Linked DNA regions of Arabidopsis thaliana. The protein of the gene in region 1 purifies or fractionates together with the protein of each later gene. This does not show direct contact. Each region holds a gene or a part of one and is shown in the gene's direction. Other genes may lie near its edges.

What was found.
Region 2: the proteins of AT5G65950 (region 1) and AT5G16280 fractionate together in Arabidopsis thaliana (co-fractionation; one large-scale study listed by BioGRID). This does not show direct contact.

The regions. Positions count from the first base shown.
Region 1 is NC_003076.8:26,378,439-26,385,952, forward strand, and holds AT5G65950 (trafficking protein particle complex subunit-like protein), read left to right. Parts: upstream 1-1,684; 5' UTR 1,685-1,851; coding exon 1,852-2,240; intron 2,241-2,333; coding exon 2,334-2,395; intron 2,396-2,475; coding exon 2,476-2,590; intron 2,591-2,670; coding exon 2,671-2,794; intron 2,795-2,884; coding exon 2,885-2,965; intron 2,966-3,148; coding exon 3,149-3,490; intron 3,491-3,746; coding exon 3,747-3,913; intron 3,914-4,008; coding exon 4,009-4,850; intron 4,851-5,071; coding exon 5,072-6,522; 3' UTR 6,523-6,897; downstream 6,898-7,514. Other genes in the region: CHY1 (beta-hydroxyisobutyryl-CoA hydrolase 1), read right to left, coding at 1-55, 125-204, 280-343, 405-473, 538-618, 694-723; AT5G65960 (GTP binding protein), read left to right, coding at 6,975-7,041, 7,109-7,169, 7,251-7,386, 7,478-7,514.
Region 2 is NC_003076.8:5,328,530-5,333,687, reverse strand, and holds the start of AT5G16280 (Tetratricopeptide repeat (TPR)-like superfamily protein), read left to right. Parts: upstream 1-1,993; 5' UTR 1,994-2,342; coding exon 2,343-2,505; intron 2,506-2,596; coding exon 2,597-2,691; intron 2,692-2,958; coding exon 2,959-3,058; intron 3,059-3,219; coding exon 3,220-3,324; intron 3,325-3,445; coding exon 3,446-3,599; intron 3,600-3,725; coding exon 3,726-3,846; intron 3,847-3,952; coding exon 3,953-4,012; intron 4,013-4,137; coding exon 4,138-4,218; intron 4,219-4,317; coding exon 4,318-4,412; intron 4,413-4,495; coding exon 4,496-4,646; intron 4,647-4,904; coding exon 4,905-4,988; intron 4,989-5,151; coding exon 5,152-5,158. Other genes in the region: AT5G16285 (F-box family protein), read left to right, coding at 586-858.

The DNA.
Region 1 (7,514 bases):
CATGGACGGATACACCAGCTCCGCCTCCCATGACGATACCATTCAAGATTGAAACCTATACGAATTGATGAGTTTATCCACTCGGGAGTGATTTTACAAAAACAAAACGAAATTATAGCGAGACCTGAGCTTTGCTATATGTGGCCATAACATAGTTGAGCATGTATTCAGATGAGAAGTAATTGGCACCGAGTCTCCAGTTACCTAGTCAACGAACGAAGATAGAGAAAGAGTGTATAAAAGCTGAAAGTAAGAAACAGAAAAGAATGGGTGGTAAACCTTGATTGATGTCACGAACAACAGCTGCAACATCGCCACCAGCACAAAAGGCTCTCCCATGACCCTGTGGCAAAGTTATTCAGTACTAAATGTGTGTAAGCGGAAGAGATAAGGATAATGATTACCTTTAGGATGACAAGTTTCACACTAGGGTCCTCCTCAAATGCAAGGAACAGTTGCAGCAATCGAGAGATCTACAGAAAAAAATGAGTCTAAGCCAATACAGTACGCATGTACAAGAAGGGAAATATTCGATACCATGTGGAAGGACAGAGCATTCAGCTGCTTTGGTCTGTTTAGTGTCAAGATTCTAACACTCGATTTCTCTTCCACCAAAACCTGTGATCATATTATTAATTCAGAGAGCGAAGAATTGATCGTCGTAGATTCGGATTAAAGACGCAAGAAAGAGACCTGAGACTGAGAGGCCATCTCGACTGCCATCTTTCTTACTGGTCAGATTCGCCTTTGTATCTCCGGAGAGAGGAGCAGCAATGGGATCAGAAATTACCACTAATGGCTAACAAAATCTTCACCCGCTTAGTTTAGGAAGTTGATATTGGGCCTTATAGTAATCTGTTGGTTTTAATAATGGGCTTTATTTTGTTAATAGAGCAAATGGAACTTTGCTTTTCAAACTCAATTTCAAAGCCCTCTTGCAACATGCTTGATGAATGAGAAGATTATATGTTTTTATCGAGTACGTTAGACATGTGTTTTTTTTGTTAGGAAGCTAGTTTTCCAACTAACCAACACCTCCCTCTAGCATAAAATGACACGTGGGCACCAGATCAATCATTAAAAAAGTCTTCAAAAATTCTCAACAACCACTTCTAAAAGTCAGACATGAAAGCCCTCGCCTCTCGATATATAGATAATTTGCATATACATGAAAACTCAACAATCTGACGCATATGCAACAGAGTTGAAAGATGGAAAGAGCAAGGATACGATGGCCGAGTGGAAGAGGAATTAGGCTGAGGCAGAAGACAAAGAGACTGCGTGCGAGAGTGAGAAGCTTTTTCAGGCTTCTCAGGAGCTGGTGCTGCAGAAGGCCTCCGCTGGTCAGAGAAGACGGTCTTGATTACACATCTATACGTCGCTCTAACTCTTTCTACGCCGATGCAATTGCAGACTGCATTGACTTCATCAACCGCTCCTCCGCTTGACAGCTTCTCATTCTCTTCCAATAATTCTTTCTTCCATTTTGTAAAATCCAATGTTTCTGTATATGCAACCAATTCGAATTCTTTGTATTATTTTATTTTTTTGACGAGTCGATGCATCTTTAAGAAGTGGGCTTATAATGGGCCTGATGATACTACATCCTTAGAAACCACATTAGTTTAAATCAGATCTGACAACTGCAGTGGTTCATACCCTTAAAGATTAAAGGCCCGTTGAAAACCCATTAAGTATTTCACATCATATTCTGGGCCAGATGAACAATCTGACAGCTATACAAGTCCATTCCCTTATCCAAAGGCCCGTTAAAAGCCCACGTAAAATGAATGTGTCAGATCCTTCCTTGCTCGATTCAACGCGTCCGAGTCTCAGACACTCCCCGGCGAGATGGAGGAATACCCGGAAGAGCTCAGGACGCCACCGGTAAGTCTGGTGGCTCTCTTCGGATACGCGGAGCTACACGCGTCCATTACTAAGTATCTCCACTCCCAGCAGCCTCCCATCAACGCTCTGGCCTTCCCCGACTTCTCTCAAATCTCTCTCCTCCTTGCTCATGATGATCAGATCAGCCGAACCTCCTCCTTCAGAGATCCTCTCAGCGTCTCCGATTCTGCTTCTCCCATTCCTTCCAGATGCGGCGGTATTTTGAAACGGGACTGGTTGCTTAAGCATCGCACCAAGGTCCCTGCACTTGTCGCCGCCTTCTTTCCCTCACATCACATCTTCGGCGATCCAACTCAATGGCTACAGGTCTGCTCCGATCTCGACAGCCTCAAGTATTTCCTCATCTCCCTTTATATTTGTTTCCTTGTTTCCCCTCCTTTGTTTCAAACCCTCAAATTAACACTGCGATCTCAATTGCTTGCTAGATCCGTAATCCGTCCCAAAAACATCAAACTGGTGGTTGTCGTGGTCCAGTCTTCTCCCCACGGTAGCGCATTTTATCCGATTATTCTTTTCATTTTCCTCTCGGAACTACTGGTGACTTACTCCTTCCCGACTTGTTTTTAGAGGACATTAGCGACGATCGTCTGGTGGCATTGCGAAAGCGGGCAGAATTAGATTCTAAGTACGTGCTCTTCTTCAATTCCAGCATAGTCTCTGAACTCACGCTCTCTCTCTCCAGGTATGTTTCTCTCCTCTTTTACTTTGCACCTAGAACAAGAGGCTTTTCCTTCAATGCATCTCAACACGGTATGTTTGCAGACTCGCTTCTGCTTTTGCAGAGTTGGCACTTTCTTATTACAGAGAAGAAGGACGGAGAATCAAAAGCCGAATTGAGAAAAGGAGTTCCAATTCTCTTGATTTGAATGTTCGCTACTGTTTTAAAGTAAGCTTTTCTCGTTACCTCTGCTAAGTCTAATCATTTTGTTCCAAAGTATCTGGGAAAAGGAAGGCTCATTCATGCCATGACTGCTAGGTCGCTGTATATGCAGAGTTTCGTAGAGATTGGGGTGAAGCACTGAAGTTTTATGAAGACGCATACCATTCCTTGCACGAGGTCTTTATTATCTCTAAGTATTTTGTTTTTTCCCAACCCATCTGTCACGCTAATATGTATTCTGCTTCTAGTCAAGAAGTTCCTTTTGATGCATATATGGTCATTGCTTTCTTATTATTACATATCTTTGCCTGCGGTTTCCACACATTCAATTTCGACGAGCAATTTTGTTTATGCAAACAGATGATCGGGACATCGACTAGGTTGCCTGCAATACAACGCTTGGTCGAGATCAAAATCATAGCTGAGCAATTGCATTTCAAGATATCAACGCTTTTGTTGCATGGTGGAAAACTCATAGAAGCAGTGACATGGTTTCATCAACATAAAACATCATATGAAAAGGTTGTCGGATCCACAGAATTTATTTTTCTCCATTGGGACTGGATGAGTAGGCAGTTTCTTGTCTTTGCTGAGTTGCTGGAGACAAGCTCAGCAACTGGTCAGAGCTTAACATCCTCAAACCAAGGAACTGCGGAAATATCTTTGACTGAGTTTGAGTTTTACCCTGCCTATTATTATCAGGTCAGTCAATTCTGCTCTATGTAACACATAGTCGGAACATATCTAAACTTGGTGGTGCATTTTGTGTTAAATCTTTTCTGTGTCTTTTACCATTTAGTTAAAAACAATACTACATAAACTTAAACACCTACCTCTAAGCAAATGCTGGATTTTTCGTCCTCTTTCTCATAAATTTCTGAGCTGTCTGTTCCTAGGTACAGTATGTTGAAAATATAATATGTTCTTATCCACTGGGAAATTTTCGTTTTACACGCAGTTGGCTGCTCATTACTTGAAGGATAAGAAATCTGCCCTGGAACTGTTGTTGTCAATGTCTGAAATAGCTCAAGAGATTGATAGCAGCTCTGCATCTATTACTCCTTCAGTCTATGTGGGTCAGTTCGCTCAGTTGCTTGAGAAGGGAGAAGCTATTACACTTCACTCGTAAGTTGTTCATAATTCATCCCACAAATCTATGTAAAAGAAAACTAATTATGCTACCACCATCTCTAATAGTATGAATTCTAATGTATTTGCAGTATAACGGATGAAGAGTACACACGGTATACAATTTCAGAAGCAAAGAGAGTTCAGGATTCCCTTCAAATTATTGCTTGGCTGAAGAGATCTTATGAATCATTTACCAACCTTAAAGCCCAGAGGATGGCTGCTCTTTGTGCCTTTGAAGTAGCCCGGGAGTACTTTGATTTGGCTGATCCCAACAACGCAAAATTCTTTTTCGATATTGCTGCAAACTTGTACAGACAAGAAGGTTGGGTAACTTTGCTCTGGGAGGTGTTGGGTTACCTGCGAGAGTGTTCGAGAAACCTTGATGCTTTGAAAGATTTTGTAGAGTTTTCACTTGAAATGGTTGCCCTGCCTGTAACATCTTATGAGAATTCTGGGAACTTAAGAAACAAAAATTATGGTCCTGGAGGTCCTGCAACAATTTCAGGAAGAGAAAGTATACATCAAGAAGTTTTTACTCTTGTTTGTCGTGAAGCCGAGCTGTTATCATCTACCGAAGGAAGTGGGTTCAAATTAGCCACTGATAGCCCTCTTCATCTCGAGATTGATCTTGTCAGTCCTCTGAGACCTGTTCTCCTAGCTTCAGTTGCTTTTCACGATCAAATGATCAAGCCTCACGCTTTGTGCTCTTTTACGTTGTCACTACTTTCTCATTTACCTCTTCCAGTTGAAATAGATCATCTAGAAGTTCAGTTTAATCAATCTACATGCAACTTTGTCATCAGAAATTCCCAGAGGCCTCTGTGGGCTTCGGCGTCTAACACTGTGAAAAGTGGTAGCCAAGTGGAGAATGCGCCATTGCTGGTGCTTGTGCCGAATAATTGGTTAAGGTTGACATATGCAATCAAGTCTGGTTAGTGTGATTTAATTATAAGGGTGTTGTTTGTATCTAACACACTTTGCACGTATTGCAGTTATTCATTGAAATTCAAACCTGTTTTGGACGTTTTCGTATTCTCAGTTACCAATTAGCAAAACTGAAGCTTCAGAACTTGTATCTATCTTATGAAAGCAAAAGGGAAGTTGTTTTCTTGGCTGCCTAACTTTTCACACATTTCTTTGTTTCATCTGCAGAGCAAAGCGGCAAGCTTGAGTGTCTTTCAGTTCTTGCAAAATTGGGGCCTCTTTTCACAATCTGTTCAAGAGCCGAGAGTCCTGCTGCAATGGAGGATTTACCTGTCTGGAAGCATGAAAATCGTGTTGAATCTCTGCCAACAAAGGACCCAGTTCTTGCAGTATTTGGCCAGAAAGCTACTCAAGTTGATGAACCCGAACCACAGGTGGACGTCAGTCTAGGTGCTTCTGGTCCTGCCCTAGTTGGAGAAGATTTTGCGATGCCAATCGTGGTAACTTCAAAGGGTCATGCCGTATACAGTGGTGAATTGAAGATTAATCTAGTTGATGTGGGTGGTGGTGGTTTGTTTAGCCCAAGAGAAGCAGAACCGTTTTCTCTAGAAAGCCATCATGTTGAAATCTGTGGTATTGATGGGGCAGAGGGCAACAATGAATCCGAGTCTGAAACAGGGAGCATAAAGAAAATTCAGCAATCTTTTGGGCTGGTTTCTGTTCCATACCTGAAGGAAGGAGAATCATGGTCGTGCAAACTGGAAATCAAGTGGCATAGACCCAAGCCTGTGATGCTTTTTGTGTCATTGGGTTACTTGCCACATGGCAGTGAAGCCAATACCCAAAAAGTTCACATACACAAGAGCTTGCAGATTGAAGGGAAGATGCCTCTTTTAATAAGCAATCGTTTTATGTTGCCATATAGAAGGGATCACCTATTGCTCAATAGGATAAAGCCAGCCCCTGATTCTGAAGACGTGTCTTCTCTGCCGCTGAACGAAAAAAGTGTGTTAGTTGTCAGTGCCAAAAATTGCTCAGAAATAGCGCTGAAACTGGTGTCCATGTCCATTGAATTTGATGATGAACAAGGGGAAACTTCATGTTTGATTCAGCAGGGTGGTGGGTGTGGAGACTCCCCAAGCTCTGCAAATCTTGCGCCAGGGGAAGAGTTCAAAAAGGTTTTCACAGTCATACCAACGACGAGAACTCCAAAGCTTGGTTTGGGATCAATACATTTAAAATGGAGGAGAGAGGGAGGTAACATAACAGAGGCATATGTTTCAACAAAGCACAAACTTCCTGAAGTAAATGTGGAGGCATCACCACTGGTAATGAGTTTGGACTCTCCTCCATATGCCATTCTTGGAGAACCCTTCACTTACGCTGTTAGAATCTGCAACCAGACACAGTTGCTGCAAGAAGCAAAGTTTGGTCTGGCTGATGCACAGAGTTTTGTCCTGTCTGGGTCTCACAGCAATACGGTTTCAGTCCTTCCCAAGTCAGAACACGTCTTAAGTTATAAGCTAGTGCCTCTGACTTGCGGTGAACAGCAACTCCCAAAGATAACTTTGACATCAGCGCGATATGCTGCTGAGTTTCAGCCATCTGCGGTTGCTTCAAGTGTCTTTGTGTTTCCCTCAGCCCCACAAGCCGAGAAAGCCATCTCTACCAGCAAGTAGTGTAACTTCGCATGACTTGGGTTTTCAGATGTCTATGCAGTTTCAGCCATATGTGGTTAAGACAGACATATTGAATCAGTTTGGTAAATTTTGATCCTGAAGTGTCGCCTATGTTGTATTTTCATTTTTCCTTCTGTTGTTGATAATAATGGATATTTTTTGGAGAACCCAAACTAGACACATAGGATTAGGACACAATCTGTTTTGAGATGTGTTTTGTGGCAACTGTTTTTCTTTCAATGCAAAAAGTGTGTGTGTGCTTAAAACGACCATACATGGTCAAGCTAACGCAGATAAAACATTCAATATTTCGTTGTATTGGGCCTTTTGATATTTGGGCTTCAAATTATCACTTGACGTTGGGTTTGCCTTTTCTCACTTGACGACAAATCAGAATTAGCATCTGTTTAGATTGGATCTTGATCACTGGCGGGCGAAGTTGGAGAAGATTGATGGAAAGCCGACCGGGAGTTTTGGTCGTCGGATCCTCTGGCGTCGGCAAGCGCACCCTCCTCTCTCGTACGCGCTTCTCCCTCTCGGATCCGATTCAAAATTTTGTTTTGCTCTAATATGTAATCAATCACAGGATTGCTCTCTGTGGAATTTGAGGATTCATCGGAGTCATCATCTCAAACAGAAGTTCATGGGTACGTCTAGTACTGAAGAATTTCTTACCCTAACAAGTTTCATCGTTTGAACACTTTTTTCTCTCTGTAAAATGTGGGCAGCTGGACGATTAACACTAAGTATTACACTGCGGATGTTTCTGTATGTATATCACATATTTGCGATGAATACTCTCTACCCAATCTCCCTAACTCACATCCACTGGTGGCGTTAGTTATGGTCTTCGACTTGAGTGAGGTTTGACATTGATGATGATGATGATGATACACGCTTCATTCTTCTCACCTTACCATCCCTGCATAACCCTTTTTTACCCGATTCTTTGCAGCTGTCAACCCTTGTTGCTCTTCAAGACTGGGTTTCTC
Region 2 (5,158 bases), about 21 Mb from region 1:
TGGTCTTTGTTTTTGTCATCTAGTAGTCTTTGTTTTTTAATTTTTTAATCAATGATTTAATAACCGGACTTTGAACCGGCTGTGTGTTCGGGTCATTTTTTAATTTATTTACTAGTCTTTGTTTTTGTTTTTGTCGTCTAGTAGTCTCTTTTAAAACTTTTATCAAAACCGGGTGTGAGTTCGGGTCATGAATCATGGTTCATCCTGGTCCGACCGGTTAGACGTTTTCTATGTTTTAATAATAAAGTAATATTTCAAATGTAGAAATGTTTAGAAAATAACTCAAAATCTCAAAAAAGTAAACAAAACATACCAAAAAGATGTGTATTCACTTAAATAAGACTTATTCAGAGATAGGGTTTGAAGATGTTTCTATGTTTAGTTAGGAGAAGGAAGATCTTTGTCGTGTGTCGTGTGGAGAAAGAAAGAGGGAATACGAAGATAGATTTTCCTCGAGGAAGGGTTGAGTACAAAACCGGATTTGTCTGCGAGTACTTGTTTTTATAAATAAGACTCTATTATCTATTCATCAATTGCTACTATATATACGTACGTACTGAGACGACTAGACAAGAATAACGTTGCATGAGGATTGAATCGCTGCTGCAACATGATGTAGTAGAGCGAATCCTGGAGAGACTTGCGGTGAATTCTCTGCCTCGATTCAAGGCTGTATCGAAGCAATGGAAATCAACAATTGAATCCCAATTCTTCCAAGGAAAACACTTGACGCATCGTCAGCAATCAGGAGATCCAGTTGTTCTCATGGTGACCGTATATAATGACGACTCCCCGCACGTGGGATCCCTACTCCTTGGGAGCAGAAGGACAAGGAACCCTACTACATTGATCATATAATAGCTGTGACGGTCTCGTTTGTCTCTACCATCCCAAAGAACCGGGTTTTGTGGTCAACCCCACAACTAGATGGTATCGTCCTCTTCCTCTTTGCGAATATCAACAAATCATGATCGACATATGAGAAGTTTTGTACATACTTAAACTCGGACTCTTTAGGCTTGGATTTGGCAAAGGCATATTCGCGGCAACATACAAGCCCGTTTGGCTATACAACTCTACAGAAATAGGCATAGAAGAAACCGCTACCACCTGCGAAGTTTTTGACCTTAGCACCAACGCTTGGAGGTATGTCACTCCAGCTGCTCCTTATCGTGTTGTTGATTTCCTTGGTCCCCTCTTTGTAGATGGGTCGCTTCGTTGGTGCACTGAGTGCCAAGAAACCAAAGTTACATCTTTTGATCTTCACACCGAAGCTTATCAAGTCATCTCTAAAGCTCCCTTTCTCAATTCCGATCCTCAGGAGATCGTCATGTGCAATCTTGACAACCGCTTGTGCGTATCCGAGATGAAGTGGCCCACCCAAGTGATATGGTCGTTCAATTCAGGCAGACATGGGACAAAATATATTCTATATATATGGTAGTAAATGTTGATATGCCTAATACCCTAAGGTACGTTGTCGTGCCACTAGCAAGTTGAAGAAGAAGTTGTTGTTTTATGATCGTGTGCTATGTCCAAGACTGTTTACACATGACCCCGAAACCAAACCAGATGATGTTGCTTTCTCGGCGGCTAAATCCATTGGATATATATCCTGTTTGTTATTTCCCGAGTTTAATCTCTATTCAAATTTGATTAGTGCCAATGCATAATGTAACCTTTGCTTCTTCCATCAACTATATTTGTTTCTCCAAGTTTCAAGATGTGGTTCTGGTGTTACCTTGATTACTTGCTATTATGCTTTTAGTTTACCTCACTACGTTGGAAGATGGCCGTTTTTTCCTTCCTTGCTTCCCTTTATGACCAAAATGTCTTGAATTTTCTGGTGTGATTATGACTTTAGGTTTCCATATCGATCACTGAAGCTCATTGAGCACATTTTTAAACTATTTGGAAAATATTGTAATTTTACCTAAATATAGGGCCAAATACATAACTTAAATAGATGGAAATTGTTTTTTTTTTTTTTTTTTTTTTTTTTCATGTTGCTCGTCGACTCTCCTCCAAATCTCCAATCGAACTTTGCCTACATCTCTCCCTCTACGTCGATCTCGATCCCGATTACGATCATCCGATCATTCTCCGGTTAATACGCCGTACTGACTGCTTTCTCCATTCTACATACTCCATCATTTACCGATATCTTCATTCCTACCTACATCAAGTCCGGCAGCTGCCGACGACGGCGTCGTAGCTCCGATTGGCTTAAAAAGGTGGAGATCTAGGTTATTGAATCGCACCGCCTCCAAAATCTATCCGACCTGAAATCGGATTAGATACACAGTGAAGAGGTTTGAGAGACTAGTTAAGCGAACGGAAGAATGGTGGAGCCGGTGAACTCTTCGCTTGGGAAAATGCTATTGGAGGAAATTAGTCCAGTGGTCATGGTTCTATGTACGCCTCTTGTTGAAGATACTTTCCTCAGGAATGGCTTATCCTTTGTGGAAACGCTCAAGCCATTCTGCAACTTTAGTAACATCGATGGTGAATTCCTTGATTTGATGTTGATTGTGTTCCGCGTTTACTATCCGAAACGTCTAATTTGAGGATTCCAATTGTGAATTTTGCGGTGCAGTGCCTGTTCGGACATCGAGCGATCAGCTGTATCGGCTAAAGAAGTTTACATTAAGATTGTTTTATGCCTCCGATATAAAGCAACCAAACGTAGAGGTATGTAAGAGTTGCTTCGGTTGAATATATTAACGTTTGAATAGTTAAGGTACTTGATAACCAGTTATTACCCAGCAACAGTGTGAATCACCTTTAATTGAACATATTGAAATCATTACCTGCTTTTACGAATAACGTAAAGTGAAAGAAGATGGATTTGGTTTTAGGGGTATACTTGTTTATGTTGTGGTGGAGGACGGCCTGAGGCTCCTCCATTCTGCATCTTTGGTGTTGAGCTCAAATTTGATTGTATTTACTTATGGCTAGGTTGCTAAGCAACGGCTAGAACGTGTTATTACTCAAGCTGGGGAGAAGGATTTTCAGGATTTGAAATCTGACCCTCCTCAAATTACTGATATACTCTCTAGTAAGTCACTACTCCAAATTTGTTTCTGTGATTAGCGGAAAATGCCTTTATAAGTTTTTTAAACTCTTTAACATCGTGCACTAACAATTTTTAAATAATTGAGAAGCCGAATTCTCTAACTTGTTGCTTTTCTAATGCTGTCGTATTTTCGCTCCCTGCAGATCCAGAGTCTGAAATTGCACCCTCATGGTTTCGGTATTACAATAAAGAACTTATACGTACATTGTCGTTTTCAGACCACGAAGCTTTCGATCATCCTGTGGCATGTAAGATATTAAATGGATTTTAGAAAATCGTTGTTTTCAGGTCTTTAAACTAGGTTTTCTGATCTATGATGTCTCATAGAGTTTTCTGTTGAGTTCCAAATAATTCGAAATGTGCTTTCAGGTCTATTGGTCGTTTCATCAAAAGATGAAGAACCTATAAAAAAATTTGTAGATCTTTTCAACTCCAATAGATTACCTACTGATGGTACAATGGACCCAAACATTTTGAAGCATTACTTGTTGGTGCATGACAATCAAGATGCAACAACAGAGAGGTAGTTGTTCCTTATTCCCTCTTATATGATATGATTTTCATCATAAGTTTATGATATGATTTTCGTCATAAGTTTATGGGTGTCAAATGTAATGTTATAGTTGACTAGATGATATTTCTTCTGTAGAACGTCTAAAGTTCTGTCAGAGATGAGAAGTCAATTTGGAAATAATGAATGCAACTTACTTTGCACTAATTCATCTAAAGAGGGGAACGTGGAACATCAGGCTAATCCCTGGGCTTCATTTGTAAGTCACTCATCAGAACTTTTATACAACATAATTTCAAGTCTCATACATCAATCCATGTCAATTTTGTAAGTTCATTATCTTGATCATCAATTTTTCTTAAAAGAAATCAAGTGTTTCGGCCGACAAACTTGGATGTGCTCTCACTGGTGATGATATTGTGGAGGTATTTTAAAAGGCTTCTGGCTGCTAGCTCTGGAGTAACATTCTCTTACTGATTAGATTTATACCTTTCAACAGTTTTGAATGTTTTAACCTATCATATTTCGTTTCCTGGCATATTTGGAGCAGATCAAAGATCTGATGCAAGAGTTTGCTTCAAGGCATATAATTCCTTACATGGAGCAGAAAGTTCGAGAACTTAATCAACAGGTTAGCTTTAGATACTCTAACAAGTCATCTGTGTGTTTTACTTAGGCTTTTGTTGTTCTCTTATCTTATCGTTTAGTTTGCATTTTGTTGTGTCACTAGATTTCTGCAACAAGGAAAGGTCTTAAAAATCAATTTAAAAACTTTTTGTGGAGAAAAGGAAAAGACGATAATCCGGATGCCACCAAAGGTTCTATGTATGCTTTCTTGAACTCCTGCTCCTTTTATGATTACCTTGACATATTTATAAGCTCTACTGACTTTGCTTCCACTTTTGAAGGTATACATATAGCTCGACCGAATCTCAAATTAGAATTTTGGGTGACTACGCCTTCATGTTGCATGATTATGAACTTGCATTGTCAAGCTATCGGTTAATATATACAGACTATAATATCGATAAAGCTTGGAAACACTATGCTGGTGTTCAGGTAGATACACATCTTTGTATTTATGTTAATGTTGAGGTGTTCCTGTGGCATTATATTTAATATGATATTCGTCTTGTATTTAGAAACTTACGTATAGTATAGGCTTGCCATATTACCAAAACTGCTTTTTGGTGTTTATTTTTCATTATTCTTCACTTTATGTCCTGTGGTTGCTTCAATAGTTCATCATCGATGGGCCATTGTTTTGTTTTGCTAAGATTTGGGCGGACTACTCATCTTTTCATGCATGTTTGGAAGGAAATGAGGGGACTTGCATATTTCATCTCAGACCAGCCAAAAAAGGATTCTGAGTGCATGGAAAATGCATTCAGCACTTATATGGTATATCTTTATAACCCACTCTTTAATTGATAACAGTTCTTTTAGTGAATGACCATCAATTACTTGAATTGGTGTTTATAATAAGCAAAGTATGAAACTGAAATACTAATTGTTTAACGTAAGTAAGTGATGCGGTGAACCATGCTTTCAAAATCTCATGCAGAAACTTG